4 linked regions of the Callithrix jacchus genome follow. The protein of the gene in region 4 interacts with the protein of the main gene of each other region in a pairwise test. Links are inferred from orthologs where the notes say so. Each region holds a gene or a part of one and is shown on either strand. Other genes may lie near its edges.

Region 1 (5,447 bases), on a different chromosome or scaffold from region 4:
AAGAGTTTACAAGGGGGAGCTCCCTGCTTAATTGATAAGAGTAATGTACAGAAGAAATTAGTGGGGGAACTTTTAACTATACTCCCTCCTGATGACTTTTTTTGTGGGGGGCGGGGGGGAACGGAGTTTTGCACTTGTTGTCCAGGAGTGCAGTGGCGTGATCTGGGCTCATTGCAACCTCTGCCTCCCAGGTTCAAGCAATTCTTCTGCGTCAGCCTCCCAAGTAGCTGAGATTATCAGCGTGCGCCACCACGCCCCGCTAGTTTTGTGTTTTTAGTAGAAATTGTGTTTCACCTTGTTGTTCAGGGTGGTCTCGAACTTCTGACCTCAAGTGATCCACCCACCTGGGCCTCCCAAAGTGCTGGGGATTACAGACTCGAGCCACCGCTCTTGGCTCTCCCTCCTGACTTCTTACCAGATACCAGTACCCTTATTTGGAAAGACTTTCAGGGAGCTGTGTCAGTTTGGGGGTTTTGGTCTCTAATCTGTGTTTTCACAGTAATTTTAAAAATCTTACACATTTATGGCCTATATTCTATCTGATATTAATAATATTTGGTATTGATAATACAAATAGAGCCTTGATTATTTGGGTAAGACATGAAGCGGAATCCATTATGTCTTCTAGCTGGGCTAAAGTATACATCTTTACTACTGATAGTATATGGAAAGACAGAATTACTCTGTACCTGTTGTTTCCTTCACAGAGAGCTAGTGGCATCTGATGAACAACCATGATACCTGGCTGAAACTCCAGGGTGGAAGTAATGCCCAAGTCCCTTTATAAAAGCCCACCACTATAAATCCTACATAATGGCTGTATGCAAACTAGTAGTCAAAGTCAATCATTTTAGAAAGGAAAGGTTTTGGTTAGCTCCTAAGTGGCTGTGTTTGTAATGAATGCAGTAGCTGTTTGGCAGCTTTCTGAATCTTTGGAAGGCCCTTGGTCCATAAGTCCTTGTGAACACCCACACATCTAGCATGAGAGACTAGTGCTAGAATGGAAATTTCTCTGTTCCCTACTCCTCACCCTAAGCCCATGTTCTAGTCCGACTTCTCTCAGCCCCTGCTCTTACATATCTACCACATTTAACAGAGCACTAGATGAGTAGCTTACCAGAGCTGGCACCTTTTCGGAGATCCTCTGGAATTTCATTGTAACTGACTGATTCACTTGGAGGAACAAGAAAAGTGAGAGGCATCTTATTTTACATTAGAGTTCCTTGGTGTGGGTACAGGCAGAGGTGGTATTTCTCTCAGTATGAGTACTGTGTTTGCCTTCTTTGATAGTACTTCTCAGAATCCGTTCATTTAAAGATAGCAGTGACTCAGTCAGTTTGAGATGTAGAACTTTTTTGTGACTTTCTCGCCATTGCCTCCTGTTCCCTCCCTCTACCACCACCCTAATTCAGTTCATAAAAATAGTTTTTAAATTGAAAGTCATCCATAATATGTAAAAATGGTAATAGAGAAAAATATTAAAGTAATATATTTTTAAGATTTGAGTGTCGCAATTTTTTTTTTCCTTGAGACAGAATCTTGTTCTGTCACCCAGACTGGAGTGCAGTGATGGGATCTCTGCTCACTGCAACCTCTGGCCTCCTGGGTTCAAGCAGTTCCCTGCCTCAGCCTCCCAAGTACCTGGGGATTACAGGTGCCCGCCACCACGCCCAGCTAATTTTTTTTGTATTTTTAGTAGAGATGGGGTTTTACCATCTAGGCCAGGCTAGTCTTGAACTCTGACCTCGTGATCCATCCCCCTTAGCCTCCCAAAGTGCTGAGATTACAGGCATGAGCTACTGCGCCCGGCCTCAGTTTATTAAATAACTATTAAAATTATATTGGTGATGTTGAGCACAATACTTAACATCTGATTTGTCTTTTTTTTTTTTTTTTTTAGTTAAGAGTGTAGTGATGCTGGAGCATCACTTGTCACATCTTGACATCACTTGTCATACACTTGTCACAGTTGCCTTTAGTTTGGGTATGCCCTTAATGACCTCTGTTGCCACACTCCTGTCTCAGCAACTTTCCAACTTGAGCCACAATTTTGATACTCATTACTTTTATAATGTATAAACTTCTAGGACTTCAACACTTAATTTTATACTAAGAGTGTGTGTGTGTGTGTGTGTGTGTGTGTGTGTAACTTCCTCTGGCCTCAGGCCTTTAAATACATTAAAATAATTAATTTAAAATCTTTTTTAAATTAAAGGATTTTAATTATTTTCCTGTTTTTTGTTTGTTTGTTTGTTTTTGTTTTTTTCTTTTTAGAGACAGGATTTCTTTCGCTATCTCTCCCAGACTGGAATGCAGTAGCACGATCATGGCTTACTGAACCCTCTACCCCCTGGGCTTAAGCCATCCTTCTGCCTTAGCCTCTCAAGTTACTGGGATTGCAAGTGTGTGCCACCACACCCGGCTAATTTTTTTAAATTCTTTGTAGAGACCGGGTCCCATTATGTTGCCCAGGCTAGTCTCAAAATTCTGGGCTCTCAAGCAATCCTCTTGCCTCCACCTCACTTCCCAGAGTGCTGGGATTATAGACATGAACCATCACACTTGGCCTCTGTTTATTTTCTTTAAAAATAACGTATGGGCCAGAAGCAGTGACTCATGCCTGTATTCCCAGCACTTTGGGAGGCTGAGGTGGGCAGGTAACCTGAGGTCAGGAGATGAGACCAGCCTGGTCAACATAGTGAAACCCCGTCTCTACTAAAACTACAAAAATTAGCTGGGTGTGGCAGTGTGCACCTGTAGTCCTAGCTGTTCAGGAGGCTGAGGCAGGAGAATTGCTTGAGCCCTGGAGGTGGAGGTTGCAGTGAACCAAGAACACACCACTGCACTCTAGCCTGGGCAACAGAGTAAGACTTTATCTCAAAAAAGAAAAAAAGAAAAGAAATATGTGGATGCAGTGATTGCATTTTGTTAAACCACTTCTAAACAGATAAACAACAAGAGAGTTATTGGTTAGAACTGTGTTTTCTAAACATTTGTATTTTAAATCTATAAACAGCCTTATTTTTCTTTAGCATTTATGTGAATTTGAATCAGTCTTGTTGGTATCATAGATGGTATTTTTATATAATATTAATTGATTGTATTTGTGGTTATTTTTCCAAAATGTAAAAAGGATTCTTTCTCTTCCTTGCTTTAAAATGTTCACTAGTTTCACTTTTCCTGGAGCAGTACTTTTCAAACTGTGTACCTAGGTTGATACTAGCTAACATTTACTGAGCACTTAATATGTCACACTATTCCAGACTTTGACATCTGTTACTGGTTTTATTCTCAAAACAAACCAATGATGAAGTAGGTATTAGTATCTTAACATTTATATGAGAATTTCATTCTGCTTTGTAATATTTAATATAAAAAGGTTTCTAAATGAATGACCTAGCATCAAGAAAAATTGAATCTAAGATTTCTATTATATTTGTTTTTTGTGACTTTTTATACTCCAAGGCATACCCTGTACGTCTAGAAGTGAGAATTTCTTTGTATGAAATTAACAATAAAAGACATACTCCAGAATTCTAAGTTTGTTTTAAAATTACATTTAGTAGACCTAAAATTATTTTATTTGCTGTGCAAGTTTTTAAACCTCTTACTCTCAATTCCTGTATTTGCCTTGCTTTAGATGGACACTTGCCTGCAGTGGGCACTGAGTAGCACTGTTCTCCCACGTACTTGATGTCTTAAACATTGTCTTTCCCTTCCCTAAAATGAGTGCACATCCTTGTTTTCTGCTTGTTGCTTTTCTACTTTTCCTTCTTGACACTTCAAATACTCTTTCCCTGGGAAGCCTGTCTAACTGGAGGCCATCTCCAGCAGAGCCATGTACTCCCTCGCTGTGCTTCCATAGCACTGTATTCACCTTCTCTCTTAATGCTTGGTGTGTAGTTGGTATGCTTTACAGACTCTGAGCTTCTTGAGGGCAGAGACCTGATTTTAAGTCTTCTCTATATCTATTATAGTCAAATACTTGGCACCTAGCGGTGTGAGTAAATGTTTGTTGAATGAATAGATGAGAGAACAGACAGTGTCTTTCAAATTACAATGTGTGGTGTAATCTAGTATTACCATTAGAAATTATAGGCTACATCATCATTTAAAGCCTCCCAGGGCGACAACCTAACCCCTGCCCTAAGAACATGCTTCAAGTCCAGGCTGATATGGTATAGTATTACTGTAGTAGTTAATGATTGAAATGCCCGACAAGCAGAAGTTTGATCATTTAATGATAATGTGCAGCAGGCAGAAGTTCAGTGCCTAATGTTCCCGTGTCTTATTTATTTCAGGAGTTGCTGGATAAATACTTAATAGCCAATGCAACTAATCCAGAGAGTAAGGTCTTCTATCTGAAAATGAAGGGTGATTACTTCCGGTACCTTGCTGAAGTTGCATGTGGTGATGATCGAAAACGTAAGTATATTTGTTATATGGGCAAAACTAAAGTACAAAAAAAGGGGACAAACAGGTCACTGTGACAATATATGTAGCCTCCAGGCTCTTTGTGATGTAAAAATAATTGAACATACATCAAGAAAATTAGTATTATCTTACATTCTCAAAAATGAAAATTGGGTCATAAATTTACATCATGTGCCCTTTAAAAGAAAGACTCATCTATGAACTTTAGTTATAATTGCACATGGTATTACTTAAAACAGGCATAATCTTTCATGCTTTAGAATTTTGGTTCACTGTGCTCTTTCCACCATCTTTCCGCGCCACCACAGTGGTCCACATAAATGTCCTGGCTGATGCTCTCGAGCATCAACGATGCCGAAAAGAGGCAAACACCAGGTGCTTATTAGGCCATGCTCCAAAGTCATCATCTGGTTTCTCATTGTGATGATGAAGCATGGTTACATTGGCAAATTTGAAATCATTGATGATCACAGAGCTGGGAAAATTGTTGTGAACCTCACAGGCAGGCTAAAGAAGTCTGGAGTGATCAGCCCTAGATTTGATGTGCAACTCAAAGGTCTAGAAAAATGGCAGAATTTACTTTATCCTGCCAGTTTGGTTTCGTTTTTAGCTCCAGAGATTTTTGCGCAAACTTTATGAGTCATTCTGCATTTCACATGGCCTTTTTGTCATTATGCCTTAAAATGCAGATAACTGAAATTACTCATAGAACATGGAATCAGGATGTTGTGCCTTTTCTGTTTGTCATATTAATTCATTATCATCTATTTTAAGGGGTCATAACATTGACTGCTAATTACATGTAATCAAATTTCTGAGGAGGAGAGGTGAGATGAATATGTTATTGCTGGTATATTATTGCTGGTATATTGCTGGTTTATTGCTTCACAGTAAATTTGAATGACCCATATGGTTAGGTTTTACTTGAGAAAGTTGAATACACAGGAATTGATGATTAATCAAGTAGTAGTCATAAAAATAGATTTCAGTATTAAATGTCTATTTTGTTTTTA
Region 2 (5,447 bases), on a different chromosome or scaffold from region 4:
AGTGGCCTTTTCCCTCTCTCTACATATATACGTATTTATATATATACATATATATACATACCATATATATATACATATGTATGTATTTATAACAATTATCTGTGTTTATTTGAAGTTAGAGGATATATGCAGACCAACAATGAAATCTATTAACTTTTAACAACTGTAAGTTCCTTACCACCAAGGCCCATGTCTGTATGTCTTTTGAATTAATAGCATCTTACTTTGGCAGTCATTTATTGAATTATTATAATTTGGGTTTACTCATTAGCTGCAGCTTATTTCTCCATGAGGCTTTCTATCAGAGCTAGTAACAAAAACTACCAAATACAAATTTAGGTATTTTCACTGTCCTTATTCTGTCTTATCATGAAGAGTCAGGTTGGTAGCAAAATAGGAAAAAGATTAACATCATCAAAAAAAAAGTTTGAAGGACCTAGTCTTTAAATAGAGGCAGCTTCATTTATGTTAAGGACAAAGAAAAAGATTTTTGTCAAAAACTCTTTTGAGATAAGTGAACATAATTTAAAACTCTTGGCTGGGTGCGGTGGCTCACGCCTATAATCCCAGCACTTTGGGAGGCTAAGGCAGACAGATGACTTGAGGTTAGGAGTTCAAGACCAGCCTGGCCAACATGGTGAAACCCTGTCTCTGCTAAAAATACTATATAATTATTGTATTTTACAATACACCAGGCATGGTAGTGCACACCTGTAATCCCAGCTACTCGCAAGGCTGAGGCACGAGAACCACTTCAACTTGGGAGGTGGAGTTGCAGTGAGCCGAGATAGCACCACTGCACTCCATAATGGGTGACGGAGTGAGACTTTGTCTCAACAGAACAAATCAAAACAAAAAAATAAACTCTTAAAACATATATTTTCTGCCATTTTACTCTCTGTTCTGCATTATGCATTGTGATTTGGCTGCTCAGGGTTGATAATGTTGCAATGGCTGGTGCAGAAAGACCCAACAAGCATTCTGTTAGTGTTTTGTAGCTAAATAATGTCTTTAAATGCTGGCATTTGTATTCTGACTTCTGAGTTGAAGGCAGTAGGATCATCTTTGGATATCAAGAATTTCACTTAGAACATCAAGATTCCTACAGTAATAAGAGAAAATTCACATCCCTAACAAGTTTATGCCTTCCTTACTCATACATTTTGACTGTTTCATTGACATGCATAGGAGTGTTTATAAAAATAGAGATAGAGATGTCATAGTTCTGACTCTCCCAACTTTTTTATCTAAACCATTATGTTTCATGTAAAATGAACATGCTGTTGTTAATTTGCATTTGCTTTTTAAAAAACAGTTGTTTAAAAATTTTTTTTTAATGTTTCCAGTTCTTACTGGGTTTAATTAGAAAAGCCTTTATTGTAAACAAAATAATTATGAGTGTATTGAGTCGAGCCCTTTCCCTTTTTCTATTTTTTTCTTTTACTGTTTGAGCTAATTTGAACAAAATTATGAACCTCATAACCAGGACTTTTCTTTTTTCTTTGCAGTGTGCAAATCTCCAGGGAGTCAAAATGCTCTGTTCTAATGCAGAAGGAGCATCCCTGAAACTGTGTAATTTTGAGGATCCTTCTGGTCTTAAAGCCAATTTAGAAGGTGAGATCCTATCTGTAAATAGCTATTTATGGAGAAAGCAGACCATAAAGGAAAAAGCCCTGGAAAGTAATTGTTATGGGTGAAACAGGATAGCAATAGGGGATATGTTTCTTCTGTCATCATATTTGGAGAACTTCCAAAGAAGTAGATACCTTCTTTTTTTCTCAATCAAATGCTAATCTAAACTGAGGACTTAGAAGAAATAAAGCCTCGAAAATTAAGATTTTAGTTGGAAAATTAAATATCAACATCTTAAACTTTCAAATGTAATATAATGTTCTTATACTGGCCAAAAGGAAAAATTTCTTATGCATAAAGCCAGGGAGTTTTAAAAAATCGTTTTTAGATTTAATATATTGTTTCTTAGTTTGTTATTGTTTTGTTATATCTGTGACTGACCACTTTGTTTACTTGTATGTTTTAGGAGACTACTTAACTCCCTCATCATAAACCTGTAGAGGCACAGTATGAAAGTGTTAACTATCATAAAACAGAACGAAGTTTCTTCCTTTAAAAGTACTGATGAAAGCATTCTTTCATCAGTGAACTCTTTATATATATGTTTGTTGAGAGACAAGATTTTAGATTCATTTCCAAAAGTTAAAGGAGGCTGTCATTATTCACCCCATTAAGTCATCTTGCAGTTTTATTGAAGTGGATAACTATATTTTTAAGTTAAGCTACTCCCAGAATGTGTTCACTGTAGGTGCTAATCTGAAAGGTGTGGATATGGAAGGAAGTCAGATGACAGGAATTAACCTGAGAGTGGCTACCTTAAAAAATGCAAAATTGAAGAACTGTAACCTCAGAGGAGCAACACTGGCAGGAACTGATTTAGAGGTGAGTTCACCAACATTTTAAGAGTTTTTATTACTCTAGACTTAATAAGTATTTCATGCAAAATTTATTGAAATCAAAACAAAGTAGTTGGCTGGTAAAACTGCCAGGTAACATGCCAACACAACTGGAGGGATATTTTCCTTTGATTTGTGTGTTTACACAAATAAGAATTCCAGAGCAAGATTCACTTACCTAAGTCATAGATGCCACTTGTGGATTGGAAGACTCACCTGACATTCAGTCTAAGTTGATTTAATTTCTCTCCTTTTCCTGAGTTTTTCTTAAGTAAATAAGTTTGATAGATGCATTATTAATCTAATATATTGCATTTTCCATAAAAAATAATTCTGAACAGAATTAAATGGGCTAGATTACTTCTTAAACTACCTAAGAAATTTAAATGATACCCAGGTTTGAAATCAGGTCCAGGAAAAGTCTATTTAACATTGGAGCCGTATGTTTTTTGGTTTTCAGCTTGAGACTATAATTTTGCCAACTCATCTTTTTCATAAGAATTGTATTTGTATGTCTTCTTAATCTCTCAGTTTAGCTACCAGACTTGATAGCTGTTGATAGGTCTACACCAGCACCATCCAGTAGCACTTAGTGCAGGAGGGACACGTTCTATATCTGTGCTGTTCAGTATAGTAGCTACTAGCCATAGATAGCTGTTGAGCACTTGAGATGTGGCTAGTGTAGATGAGAAATTTATTTTTAAATTTTATTTAATTGTAATTCATTTAAATTTAAGTAGCCACATGTGGCTGGTAGCTATGAAATCCGGCATAAATTGCATTGCAGAGAACAGGGTTTCAAATTTTAGCTTGCTGTTAATTTTTTTTCTTAATGCTTTTGCCTAGATCTCTTGATAGCTCTCAGTAGCAGAGGAGCAGGCCTCTTTCAACTTGAAGGCAAAAAGAATTGACCCAAGATTATAATCCTATCACAAGCACAATTATTTATTGTTTGTTACATTACTTCCATCTAAGATTATATTTTTTTTCCTAGGTTTTAGTTACTGTGTAGTCAGTGTGGCTTAGCAGCAAAAACCTCCCTCTGTCTGATTGCAAAGACTGATAAGACTGACTATTGAGGGGAGAGCTGCTGATATCTGTTCTCCTAACAGGTTATGTTTAGTCACCCTTCTCTCTAACCATTCTCCCCCTATCATATCCAGGGACTTAACTAGAATCTCTATCTTATCTATCAGTCTGTGATCTCAAGAGAAATTAAGAGCTGGGCACAGTGGCTCACGCCTGTAATCCCAGCACTTTAGGAGGCGGGCAGATCACCTGAGGTTGGGAGTTCGAGACCAGCCTGACCAACATGGTGAAACCCCCGTCTCTACTAAAAATACAAAAATTTATCGGGGCCTGGTGGCACATGCCTGTAATCCCATCTACTCTGCAGGCTGAGGCAGGAGAATCTATTGAACCTGGAAGGAGGAGGTTTCATTGAACCGAGGTAGCACCATTGCACTCCATCCTGGCAACAAGAGCAAAATTCCATCTCAAAAAGAAATTAAAAAACAGCTTCAAACTGTGGTAGTTACACTACTCTGTACATCTACCAAAACTCATTGTATTATATGGGGCTTTAAAAAGAAGGGTAGTTCCTTGCTATGAAAATACTAGGTCTAGGGAATGGAAAAATCTGTTATGCAATTTGATTAAGTAAAATCCCATCTCATGCCTTTGTTGTTGCTGTTGTTGTTCTTGGATCACAGTAAAATTATTTCGATAATCTTTATTACCTTGGGGCCGGGTGCAGTGGCTCACACCTGTAGTCTCAGCACTTTGGGAGGCCAAGGAGGGCAGATCACTTGAGGTCAGGAGTGTGAGACCAGCCTGTCCAGCATGGTGAAATTTTGTCTCTACTAAAAATACAAAATATTAGTCAGGCGTGGTGGCGAGCACCTGTAATCCCAGCTTACTCAGGAGGCTGAGGCAGGAAAATTGCTTGTCCTGAGAGGTGGAGGCTGCAGTGAGCCAAGATTGTGCCACTGCATACCAGCCTGGGCAACAAGAATGAAACTCCTCTAAAAAAAGAAATTGTGTGTGTGTGTGTGTGTGTGTGTGTGTTACTATGTTAGAATCCATTCTGTATTTTTTTTTTTTTTTTGAGACGGAGTTTTGCTCGTTACCCAGACTGGAGTGCAATGGTGCGATCTTGGCTCACCACAACCTCCGCCTCCTGGGTTCAGGCAATTCTCCTGTCTCAGCCTCCTGAGTAGCTGGGATTACAGGCACGCACCACCATGCCCAGCTAATTTTTTGTATCTTTAGTAGAGACTGAGTTTCACCATGTTGACCTGGATCGTCTCGATCTTTTGACCTCGTGATCCACCCGCCTCAGCTTCCCAAAGTGAGGGAAGATTACAGGCTTGAGCCACCGCACCCGGCCCCCCATTCTGTTATTTAAATCAATGGTCCCCAACCTTTTTGGCACCAGGGACCAGTTTCGTGGAAGACAGTTTTTCCACAGACCAGGGTGGGGGAGTAGTTTCGGAATGATTCAGGTGCATTACATTTATTGTGCACTTTATTTCTACTAGTATTACATTGTAATACATAATGAAATAATTATATAACTCACCATAATGTAGAATTAGTGGGAGCCTTGAGCTTGTTTTCTTGCAACTAGACAGTCCCATCTGGGGGTGATGGATAGTGACAGATCATCAGACATTAGATTCTCATAAGGAGTGTGCAGCCTAGATCCCTGGCATGCACAGTTCACAACAGGGTTCACTCTCCTATGCAAATTTAATTAATGCCTTGATCATCCAACAGGAGGTGGAGCTCAGGCTTCAACTTGAGCCAAAAGGGGAGTGGCTTTAAGTATAAATGAAGCTTCATCTACTGCTGACCTCCTTGCTATGTGGCCTGATTCTTAATAGGCCATGGACCTGTATGGGTGTGTGGCCCAGGGGTTGGGGACCCCTGTTTTCAATATCTCATTAGAAAATATGCAAGCATAAGTAACATGCTTCC
Region 3 (5,447 bases), on a different chromosome or scaffold from region 4:
GTTATGCTTGCCCCAGCTTCTTTGGGGAATGATGAGCATGATGAAAAAATGTGTAATCTATTTTTAAAGCCATACCCAAAGCTGAAAAACAGAAGGGCCAGGAGGCGATTATTCATTCAAGTAAAATGCAACCAGTGTTTGCTTTCCTTCCAAGGATCTTAGAGAGTTTGTCACTTACGTATTTTCAGATAAAACAGCCATTGTGACCTTCCCTTCCTCTAGTACTTGGCCTCCCCCAGTCTTTGCTGACTTCTTGAAGGACAGACAGAGACCTCAAGAGGTCTCCAATCTCAAAAGCTTCCATCAGGAAAAGCCACAATTTCATGGCTCCAGGCAGAGCCATGACTGTGGTGGTTAAGAGCATGGACTCTGGCCTTGACCAGACCAGCTCCCCAACTCACTGCAGTTGTATGACCCTGGGCATGTCATTTGACCTCTCTGAGCCTCAGTGGTCTAATCTGAAAGATGGAAGCAATAATAATACCTACCTCATAGGATGGTTTTGAAGATCAAATTTAGTAATCTGATTTTTTAAACATTTTTAATAATACTGGTAATCTTATTTTATTTTATTATCTTTTGAGAAGGAGTCTCGTTCTGTCGTTCAGGCTGGAGTGCAGTGGTGTGATCTCAACTCACTGCAACCTCCACTTCCAGGGCTCAAGGGATCCTCCCACCTCAGCCTCCTGAGTAGCTGTAATTACAGGCACGCACCACCACACCCAGCTAATTTTTTTGTATTTTTAGTAGAGATGGAGTTTTACCATGTTGGCCAGACTGGTCTCAATCTCCTAACCTCCATGATCCATCCATCTCAACCTCCCAAAGTGCTGGGTTAAAAGTGTGAGCCACTGTGCCTGCCCTGGTAATTTTATTTTATAGGAAAATATTTTCTAGCCAAGAATACTACGCCTTTTTTCCTCTGTAAACAAATGTTCTTGTTCCTTCTTTTCTTATATGAAATTCATTCTATATCTCTTGAGCTCAATTTTGCCCATAATGAACTAATTTACATTTGATATTTAGATTTAAACTGAGGACACTAACAGGAGAACATGTTTCAGGAATGTTGATTTGATCCACCGTTTCAGAGCATGGTAAAACAGCCTGCTTCCTTCTCTTTGGTCTTTCTCCCCTTTCTCATGCTGCATTTTTCTAGGACTGTAATGACTTTCAGGCATGAACTGTTCAAAAGCCTTCCTCACTTAGCCTCAGATTTATTCTTGGCTCTATGAGCTTCTTGGATAAACCAGAACATTTAGAAATTTAAACATGAGCTAGAAATAAAAAATGATTGGAAAATCATGGGTTTTCTGAATACCCAAGTTTCTTCATTTCTCATTAAAAGAAAAACATGCTCCAAGCAAGGTAAGTAAAACATTTATTATAACGCCAAACTCTTGGTCTATTCTATAGAAATACAACCACTGATCTCCTGGGGTCACATTAAGATCAATTTTTAATAATACACATCTCCCGGTTTTTCAATTCTATTTTGTTTATTACCAATAATCTAGCTACGTTTTTAAAACTGGAGAAAAGTAGAAAGAAAAATCTCACTCCTAGTTCACCCTCTTAATGATTACTTCTGCCTTTTTTTTAAAGAATATTTAACTTTAAAATGCAGTGCCATGATTCTATTTCTCCCTCAGGTCTATCACATTTCCAGAAACTCATGGTTCAAAATGGAGACAAGAATGATCAAGAACGTGTGTGCCCCTGCAGTGGTGCTTGGGGAGCGGATTGTCATTGTGGGAGGTGAGTCTGAACAGGGGATCGCTGGGTGTGACACAAACTTGGCACCGTCTATGGAAAAAAGGTCACTCATAGACAGATGTTATTCTACAAGATTGTCTTTAAAAGCACATCCAACCAACCAGAGAAGCGTGGAGAATCTGACAAAACTTTTTCCTCATCCAGAAGTTTCTGTCTTTATCTGTAAACAACAGATGAAATAATACCTATCACACAGAGCTGTTGTGATGATTAATGTACTTGTGTATCTAAAGCCCTTAGCTCTATCCCAGACACACAGTAAATAAAACATGTTTGCTTCCGTTAATAATACCAGCTACTAATGGTTTGTTTCTCTGTAATCATAGGATAGTGTCATCGTTAAGAAGACTGGTATTGGGGTCAGATAGACCGGGTTCAGATCCTGGCTCTGTCACTAACTGGCTATATACTCGTTAGCAAGTTAAACATCTTCTGTGCCTCAGTTTGCTCATCCATAAAATGAGGCTCCTAAAAGTACCTACCAGATAAGGTTGTTGTGGGGAACCCACTTCTGAGTTTCCAAAGGCTTGGGATTGTCATAGTTCTTGAGTGGGCATTTGAGAGAGGAAGTTGCCAGGCTGAGAAAGTTACAGGAATCAGGAAGCTGCTCCCAATCTAAGAATGGCTTATGCGCTGCCTTAACTTGGGGTGAAGGTCAGAATCAGACAGATCTGTGTGCCAGTCCCACTCTGCCACAAAGCAGGCCTTGGCAGGCCAGCTCTACACCCCATGCTCTAGTTCAGAGCCCCGGCCTCAGCCTTAGGCAGTGGCAGGGGTCAGACGTGTCCCAGGACCCCTCCAGTCCCAGATGAGCAAGGCTGAGCCTGACCATGTGTCGTTTGGTTTTCAGGTTACACAAGGAGGATTCTTGCTTATGACCCTCAAACCAACAAATTTGTAAAATGTGCGGACATGAAAGACCGGAGGATGCACCACGGGGCCACGGTGATGGGAAACAAGCTCTATGTGACGGGCGGGCGGCGCCTGACCACGGACTGCAACATTGAGGACTCCGCCTCATTTGACTGCTATGACCCTGAGACGGACACCTGGACATCCCAGGGGCAGCTGCCGCACAAGCTCTTTGACCACGCCTGCCTCACTCTCCAGTGCATACCCTGCACATCTGCCCTCCCATGAGGTCAGGAAGAAACCTGCTGTCCTACTCAAGATGCCTTTTGTTGCAAGGGATACAAACCCAGCTCCAAAGGGCTTAACCCTAAGAGGCTGCAGGGAGAGCTCACAAGCCTGAGGTACCAGTCAGGAGGCCTGGAACTTGGCATAGCATTGCCAGAACCCTCTCTCTCCTTCCCTCCCTCTCTCGCTGTCTCTCTCCCCGACCTCCATCTGTCTCCTTTATCAGTCTCTGTGTCTCCCCATTCTCTCGCTCTCTCCTCACCCCATCTCTGTCTTTTTTTTTTTTTTTTTTTTTTTTGAGATGAAGTTTCACTCTGTAGCCCAGGCTGGAGTGCAGTAATGCGATCTCAGCTCACTGCAACCCCCACCTTCCAGGTTCGAGAGATTCTCACTCCTCGGCCTCCCAAGTACTGGGATTACAGGTGTGAGCCACCATGCCTGGCATGTCTCCTTTCTGTCTCAGTTTCTCTGTCTCTCTTCTCTCTGAGTCTGTCTCTGTATCCCCCTCTCTGTTTCTCTCTCTCTCTCTCTCTCTCTCTCCCTCCCTCTCTCTCTCTCTCTCTCAGTCTCCCCTCTCTCTTCCTCTCTCTCCTCCCGAGATTTTCCTCTCTTTCTACCTCATCTCTATTAGGCTTCCTTCTCCAGCAAGCTTCTTTATTTACCCACACAGTATGGGGACAATGGCAACTGATAAACCCAGACTCATTTTCTAGCTTTACATCTTCAGGAGACAACTTTGCCATTACCCATATATTAAACCTAAAGAACAATGCTTATGGGCCTTTCTTGAATTCCATGCCTACCCGTTGAGCCAATCACTGTTGCCAGGACTGGCTAGTCCTGGACCATATCCCCACAGACAGAGGTGGGGTTACCTGTTGTGATTGACAGCCATTCCAAACTGTATGTGATGGATTCAAAGCATTTCCCCAAAGGGAGAAATCTAGACAAAAACCACATCTGCCCAGGACACCACTGAAATCTGGAACAAGAGGGCTGAGACCCCAGAGGATTCCTGGACATGCTTGGTCCAGGTGGCAACATGAGAAATTGGCCCTGACCTTGTTTTTCTGCATTATATGGATGTAGTACATCGAAATTCCAGAGACGTCTGCACAATTCAGTATCTAATGTTTGTAAAATTATTCTGCACTGCCAGAATAAAGTTTGTTTCTGGTGCCAAATGATGTTTTTCTGCAGCCTCTGGGGAGCTATAAACCTGCATAATTAATCAGGATGTTCATTTCGGTCAGTGTTATAAGGATTGTTCTTCTGGGGAAAGTCAACAAATTCTCTCAGTGCTTACAGCAGTCATTGCCCTCAGATGCCAAGGCTGACTATCTCTATAGCCCCCGTTATCTGGAGGTGCCTCCCACACTGGCTCAGTCCCAAACTCAGGAATCAGCCGAAGTAGAGAACAGCGCTTCTCGGCACTGCCTGCATAACACCGTCATCTGAAAACGGGGCCAGCCCCATTTGAGAAAAATGACCAGGGATGCTTTGCGGGGTTGGGGGGGGGGCCAGACACTGTATTTTTTGAAAAGCTTCCCAGATGACTGAAATGTGTAGTCAGGGTCGAGAACCACTGCCCTGCCCAGCTGTGGGCATGGAAGACCTCCATGGCTTGTTCCATTCCCCTCCTGTCCTGGGCTAGCCTGTCCAAGCCCAGTGATGTAGGCTAAGTCCTCTCCCCATCAATTCTGCAATCAGTCTTGCTGCCCTGGGCCTGGCACCAGAGTTTACTCCAAGCTGTGGCCTTCCTCCCCATCTGGCTCTCCAGGTTGATGTTCTAGACTTTTCCTTCATTCTAAGTTGTCTTTTGTGTACTTCGGATTCTCCTGCTAGGGTCTGAAGCTCTGCTCTGCTCCCCAGATCACTTGGCTGAGGTCAGAGAGACCCCCTGCCTGGATTGCCAGCCCTGCTCCTCAGCCTGAACACTGTCCCCATAGCTGCTGGCTGGCATCTTGTTCTAACCTAGTGTCTTTGAACTCCCTCTCTTCAGGCTTTCAGTCCCACCTCTGTTAAATCACAGGAGAGCTGATTGTTTAAAAGGGCATGGCACCCCTCCCCTCTCTCTTGCTCCCTCTCATGTGAAATCTGGCTCTCTAATATGGTTTGGCTGTGTCCCCACCCAAATCTCATCTTGAATTGTAGCTCCCATAATTCCCATGTGTTGTGAGAGGAACCTGGTGGGAAATAATTGGATCATGGGTTGGTTTCCCTCATACTGTTCTGAACATAGTAAGTCTCATGAGCTCTGATAGTTTTATAAAGCGTTTCCCTTTGCACTTGGCTCTCACTCTTCCTTGTCTGTCACCATGTAAGACGTGCCTGTCAGTCTTCCGTCCTGATTGTGAGGCCTCCCCAGCCCCCACATGGAACTGTGAGTCTACTAAACCTCTTTTTCTTTATAAATTACCAAGTCTTGGGTGTGTCTTTAACAGCAGCATGAAAAACTCTCCTTTCCCTTCCGCCATGAGTGGAAGCAGCCTGATGCCCTCACCAAAAGCAGATGCTGGTGCCAAGCTTCTTGG
Region 4 (5,920 bases):
CAAGTTACAAAATATATAGAGATAAACAACTTCATCAAAATTAAAACCTTTTGTGCTTCAAAGAACACCATTTAAAAATGTAAAGACAACCCACAGAATGGAGAAAATAGATGCAAATCACATATCTGGTTAGGGTCTAATATTTAGCTAATACAAAGAGCTCTGAAAACTCAACAATAATAAAACAAATAACTTCATTTTAAAATGGGCAAAAGATTTAAATAGACATTTCTCTAAAGAAGACATACAATGGCTGGGCGCCGTGGCTCAAGCCTGTAATCCCAGCACTTTGGGAGGCCGAGGCAGGTGGATCACGAGGTCAAGATATCGAGACCATCCTGGTCAACATGGTGAAACCCCGTCTCTACTAAAGATACAAAAAATTAGCTGGGCATGGTGGCGCGTGCCTATAATCCCAGCTACTCAGGAGGCTGAGGCAGGAGAATTGCCTGAACCCAGGAGGCGGAGGTTGCGGTGAGCCGAGATCACGCCATTGCACTCCAGCCTGGGTAACAAGAGCAAAACTCCGTCTCAAAAAAAAAAGAAGACATACAAATGGCCTACAAGGACATAAAAAGATTCTCAATATCATAGCCACCAGGAAAATCCAAATGTAAATCCACAATGAGATCCCACTTTATACCTACTATAATGGCGATAATCAGAAGAAAAAAAAGACAGAAGTTTGGGAAAAGATGTGGAGAAATAGTAATCCTCACACATCGCTGGTGGGAGTGTAAAATTGTGCAGTCACTTTGAAAAACACTTTGGCATTTCCTCAAAAATGAAACATAGGGTTACTGTATGATCCAGTAATTCCATACCTAGGTACCTATCCAAAAGAAATGGAAACATATGTTTCTACAAAAACCTGTACACAAATACTCACAGAAGCATTTAAACATTTAACAGCTACAAGGTGAAAACAATCTAAACGTCCATTAACTGATCATGTATAAAATGTAGTATATTCATGTGAAATTATTCAGCCATAAAAAATACTGATACATGCTATAACATGGATAAACCTTGAAAATATTATGCTAAATTAAAGGCAGACACAAAAGCCATGTATTACATGATAGCATTTATATGAAATCTCCAGAACAGACAAATCCATAAACACAGAAAAGTAGAGTATTTGCTAAGGGCTGGGGGAAGGCAGGAACAGAGAGAGGCTGCTTATGAGTGTTTTTTGGGGGTGAAGAAAATATTTTGGAACTAGATAATCGTGATAGTTGCACAATTTTATGAATATACTGAAAACCATTTACTTTAAAATGGTGAACTGAATGGTAAGTGAATTACATATTAGTAAGTTTTTAACAAGACCTTACAGAAACCAATAGTAAAAATGTATCATAAATCTGGGAGTGAAACTCCAACCTATGTGCCTGGAGGATGGGGAGAAATATTAATGAAACAGTTTTGGCAAACATGGAGGGAAAAGGTGTTTCACTTTTTTGAACATCTTACATTACTTGCTGGTATTAACTGGCACATTTATTTAAGAAATTTGGCAGTTTGTATCAAAAAAAGATCAAGCACATATTCTGTGATCCAGGATTTTCACTGTTGGAACTCTAATATCAATGTGTGGCTGGCATAGTTGGCACTCAGTGATGTTCTTTCCTATTATAGAGGTGATAACCATAAGGAGAGATAATAAATTATGCACTTAATTCCTGCAGCCAAATTCAGCTCTTCTGCTTTTTACAAAAATAAGAAAATGTTCACACTATAACGTACTATGACCATGAAATTTCTGTTCCTTTAATCTTCGCAAGCTGCATAAATTGGAAAGTGAAATTTTTCTGTAAAATATAGGGTCTTGTTTCTAAGGATCCTGAGCATATACTAGCAGAACAGTGAAAGATTTCATGTAGAGTTCCAGTCTCTTTTTAAAAGGCATGTAGTGGGGTGGGAATAGGGTGGGGGAAAAGTGAGCAAGCTTGAGCCTCACCCAAACACCATGAAGCTACAAAAAGCCAAGAAATATTCAGATTGGCTTATGTATAAAGCTTCATGAAAATGAGCAGTGACTATGCATTGATTGATAAAATCAATTACTACTGAAAGAAGTCCCTAAAGTGAATCTATGTGTTTTTTAACTCTCTCCTAATGGTGATATCTCTTTAAATATCGCATTGCTATTATCTGGGGGATATATAATTCCTTTGTTCAAATAGAATTCTATCAGTTCCTCTAACATGAAGAAAACCATGTTATTCTACTTTGTACCCAAGCCTTTCAGTCTATGAAGACATAATATGAAGTCAACTTGCCCAAATTGCAGGCAGAACACCAAACAAGGAGAAACAGCTTCCGAAATCTCCATTTTCCAAAAGCTGACAAATGACAACTGAACTTCCGGAAGGCTCACTGCATCACCACTCCTCTACAGCTGGTTCCATGGAAGCATGGAGAGCCCATCAACATACCTGCTACACCCACAAGGCCGCATCCTCCTACCCACCCAGCATGGTAGAGAGAGAGGGATTGTGACATAAGCAAATACCCTCAGGCTGATATATGTAAATGCCAGCCTATGAGCTTCCTGGTAGGGACACCAACAGTGAACGCCTCATAACAGCCAACTTCTTGCAACTCCCAAGCTGACGGCCTCACAAGGGGGAGGAGAGACTCCTCTACTGGAGAACTGATAGCAGTATTCTGGTAGAGGGGGCATCAAAAATCCTAGCGGGGCAGTGTTAATCATGTAGGCACCATGGAAACTGCTATGTGTGTTTGCTGTCCATGTTGTACATGGCAGCGATGTTGTCCTCGGTTATGCTCCTGTCTATGCTGCAAGTTCATCTTTACCTCAGAGCGGAACTGCACCTGCTTCCCCTGCCCTTACAAAGATGAGCAGAACTGCCAGTTCTGCCACTGTACCTGTGCTGAGAACCCCAACTGCCATTGGTGTTGCTGTTCTTGGGCCAATGATCCCAACTGTAAGTGCTGCTGCACAGCCAGCAGCAACGTCAAGTGCTACTACTATGAGAGCCGCTGCTGCCGTAATATCACCGTGACTTTCCACAAGGGCCGCCTCAAGAGCATCCATACCTTGTAAGTGCCAGGCACCAGATGTGCAGCCACATTGGCTCAGGAAAACTAGGGACCCCTTGCTAGCTGTGAAGTCCACAGGGCAGGCCAGTGCCCCTCTGTGTTTATTTATCTAAAAAAAAGGAGCCAAGAATTTTGTAGCAATTAACTGTATCATATATGGTCACTATGTATGTAGACCATGAGCTCCAATCTAAGCATCATCGACTAGAGCACTTCACTCTTCTGAACCCTCTCTCATCTGTACAAAATAGTAATAGCTAATACTTGGTGTTTACACAATTTTCCAGGCATTTCATGCATAACCCAAAGTCCACTGTTCTCATGAGGAAACTGAGCATTTGAGAAGTTTCCTTCTCAAAGGAAACTTTGAGAAGAAGTTGCCCCAGGATGACACAGCTGGAAAGATTCAGAGTCAGAATTGGAACCTAAAATTTGTGATCTTAACTCTAGAATGCTGTATTGCAAAACAGAGACAAGACCCCCCCACCCCCATGATATTGTAGATATAAGAATTAATGTATATTCTTTATAATCTGCATGTTATAGAAAAATAAAAAGTGCTCATTTTCTTCCTATTAACTCTAAATACCTGCAACATTTATTGGAAAAGTAAGACCTTCTATGGGGCACTTTTGACCCTGAGAGCCATTTAAGTACCCCAGACATCCAGGAACTCCAACTGCCTTCTCTTTTTCTCATCCAGAAGTCACGGAACTTGGGGTCTCAATTATTCATTTGGAGTACTAATCCTCCATATCAGGTCTTACATTATCCTCACCTGCTCTGCCAAACAAGCCTTTTTATGTCACACATGAGGGGAGTCTGAAGTACTAAGAGCACACTTCTTAGAAAAGATGACAGCACTATAAGATGACAGGATTAGAAGAAGCAGAAAAATGGCAGGCCAGTTTGAAAGCTTTCAAGCCTGGAAAAGCAATTCTGCAAGCAGAAGTTTAGTGAACTTAGGGGAAAGATATTATCCATCTTGCCATTAAATCTTTAGTAGCTCCTTAACACCCATAACTCTCCACCTATGGCCCTCTCATAGTATCTGCATAAATAGGAAATCCAGGGATTCTCAGTCCAAGTCTAGAAATACTAAAGTGTGGGAAATAGTGTCCACATTCCTCTCTCAACTACCTAATTCTCTGTGCAACAGCAACTGAGCCTCTGAGCCCATTTCAACAGGAAAAAGATAAAATTGGTCTTTAGGAAAATGCCTCAGGCATCAGTTGCTCCCTAACGTTATTGTGCATTGAAGTCACTTGGGGATCTTTAAAAATTACTGATGCCCGATATCCACCCCAGAAACATTCTGATTGTATTGGTCTGGGGTACCACCTGAGCATCTGAATTAATGAGCATCGCCCCTTCAGGTGATTCTAATGTGCAGAATGGCCTGCAGGTGCAAAGGTGGGAAGCCAGGAGATTTGACAGGTGATACAGTAAGAATCCAGGTGCAAGAACAGGCCTGATTTTGGGAGAGAGGGGAGGCTGTGCAGAGGAGCAGAGGCAGGCTATCTCAGCAAGAAGATAAAGCACTGGTCTTGATGCTGCTTTGGAATGGAACCATGGCCACTGAATGCCCTGACCAAGCCTGAGGTTTGTGGAGGATGCGCAGGGATGCTAACGCATGTGTCAGGAGGTTGGCTCTGGGTGCTTGTCTTCAATCTGGCCTCTCTTCTGGCTTCTGACTCTTGGCCTCCTCTGCTTCTCATCACCACTTTCTGCTCAGCACCTTGCTTGTTCTGCCTCACTCTGGTCTCATTCATCCCTCTCTACCTTACTCTTTTTCACCTCTACCACAGCTCCCTAGGCCATTAATACCTGTCTCTTAGCCCTGAGCCCTCTTTCTCGTCCTCCAACATCTCCCTCCCTACTTCTTATTTATGAAAATTCTAGCTCATGAGCTTCCTAGTAGGAGTACCACCTGTGAAGGACTCACAACAGCCTCTTTATATTATACCTTGATTCTCAAGGCCTTTTTTTTTTTTAGCAAACTAAAGACCTGTACCTCCAGGTGATCCCTTCGGGACACAAGCAGGAGTCTGGGAAAGCAGAGAGGAAACAGAACTGAGAACATTGAGGCCAGCATGCCTAGAGCTCCCAGATCCCTAAAGGACAAATTTTTCAGGTGCCTTAGTCTACACAGGGAGCATTCTCTGTCGCCACATGGCCACTCCATTCCAATATGCTTGGGAAGTATCTGTGACTGTGGACTCAGACATAGGTCCCTGGCCAAGGGAGGGGGGAAGAAGAGAGGGACACATAAGGAATGCAAGACAACAAAAGCAGAAAGGAACACAGCCACAATGGCAAGATTACTACCCAAATATTATCCAAACAGAGGAGATAGCAACAGTGGCAAATTGTGTGCCTATTTATACCTGCATCCCCACAAATAATTCGTTTTTATACACTGCATTTGCCAACTGTAAGTTCTTAGAACACGCCCTTCAATTTTACAAGTATACTTTTACTCCATCCATAGTTCTTACAATATATGAAATCATCCTCAGGCGTTAGACAAATGGAGAGCCTTAACACACACAAATGAAACAGTAGACACATACTTTTCACAGACTTGGCCACTATTTTCCTTTACTGTGATTTCTCTCTACTGCAGACCGTAGCTGGCTAGTAGCAAAGGGGAGTAATTATAGTGGCCACATTTACTGAAAGCTTACTATGTGCCAGCAGTTAAGCACTTATCATGCATTGTCTCATTTAGACTTCATAAAAACCTCACAAAGCAAGTCGTACTGTGAGCTTTGATATATAGTTGAGAAAACTGAACATGAGAGAGGTTTAAGAAAACATCTCAGAGGTCCAGCTGTAAAGTGGTGCATTC

What was found. The genes of interacting proteins can lie anywhere in the genome.
Region 1: the proteins of TRIM42 (region 4) and YWHAQ interact in binary tests that used the Homo sapiens proteins (3 or more experiments, as listed by UniProt). The two-hybrid records come from large-scale screens. The link is inferred for Callithrix jacchus from reciprocal best matches to the Homo sapiens genes TRIM42 and YWHAQ.
Region 2: the proteins of TRIM42 (region 4) and KCTD9 interact in binary tests that used the Homo sapiens proteins (3 or more experiments, as listed by UniProt). The two-hybrid records come from large-scale screens. The link is inferred for Callithrix jacchus from reciprocal best matches to the Homo sapiens genes TRIM42 and KCTD9.
Region 3: the proteins of TRIM42 (region 4) and KLHL38 interact in binary tests that used the Homo sapiens proteins (3 or more experiments, as listed by UniProt). The two-hybrid records come from large-scale screens. The link is inferred for Callithrix jacchus from reciprocal best matches to the Homo sapiens genes TRIM42 and KLHL38.

What each region holds. Positions count from the first base shown.
Region 1 is NC_133515.1:105,386,187-105,391,633, forward strand, and holds part of YWHAQ (14-3-3 protein theta), read left to right. Parts: intron 1-4,301; coding exon 4,302-4,425; intron 4,426-5,447. UniProt on the Homo sapiens protein: Adapter protein implicated in the regulation of a large spectrum of both general and specialized signaling pathways. Binds to a large number of partners, usually by recognition of a phosphoserine or phosphothreonine motif.
Region 2 is NC_133514.1:16,081,160-16,086,606, forward strand, and holds part of KCTD9 (BTB/POZ domain-containing protein KCTD9), read left to right. Parts: intron 1-1,508; coding exon 1,509-1,614; intron 1,615-2,320; coding exon 2,321-2,454; intron 2,455-5,447. UniProt on the Homo sapiens protein: Substrate-specific adapter of a BCR (BTB-CUL3-RBX1) E3 ubiquitin-protein ligase complex, which mediates the ubiquitination of target proteins, leading to their degradation by the proteasome.
Region 3 is NC_133517.1:73,744,161-73,749,607, forward strand, and holds the end of KLHL38 (kelch-like protein 38), read left to right. Parts: intron 1-1,652; coding exon 1,653-1,758; intron 1,759-2,626; coding exon 2,627-2,916; 3' UTR 2,917-4,097; downstream 4,098-5,447.
Region 4 is NC_133518.1:43,744,390-43,750,309, reverse strand, and holds the start of TRIM42 (tripartite motif-containing protein 42), read left to right. Parts: upstream 1-2,562; 5' UTR 2,563-2,728; coding exon 2,729-3,069; intron 3,070-5,920.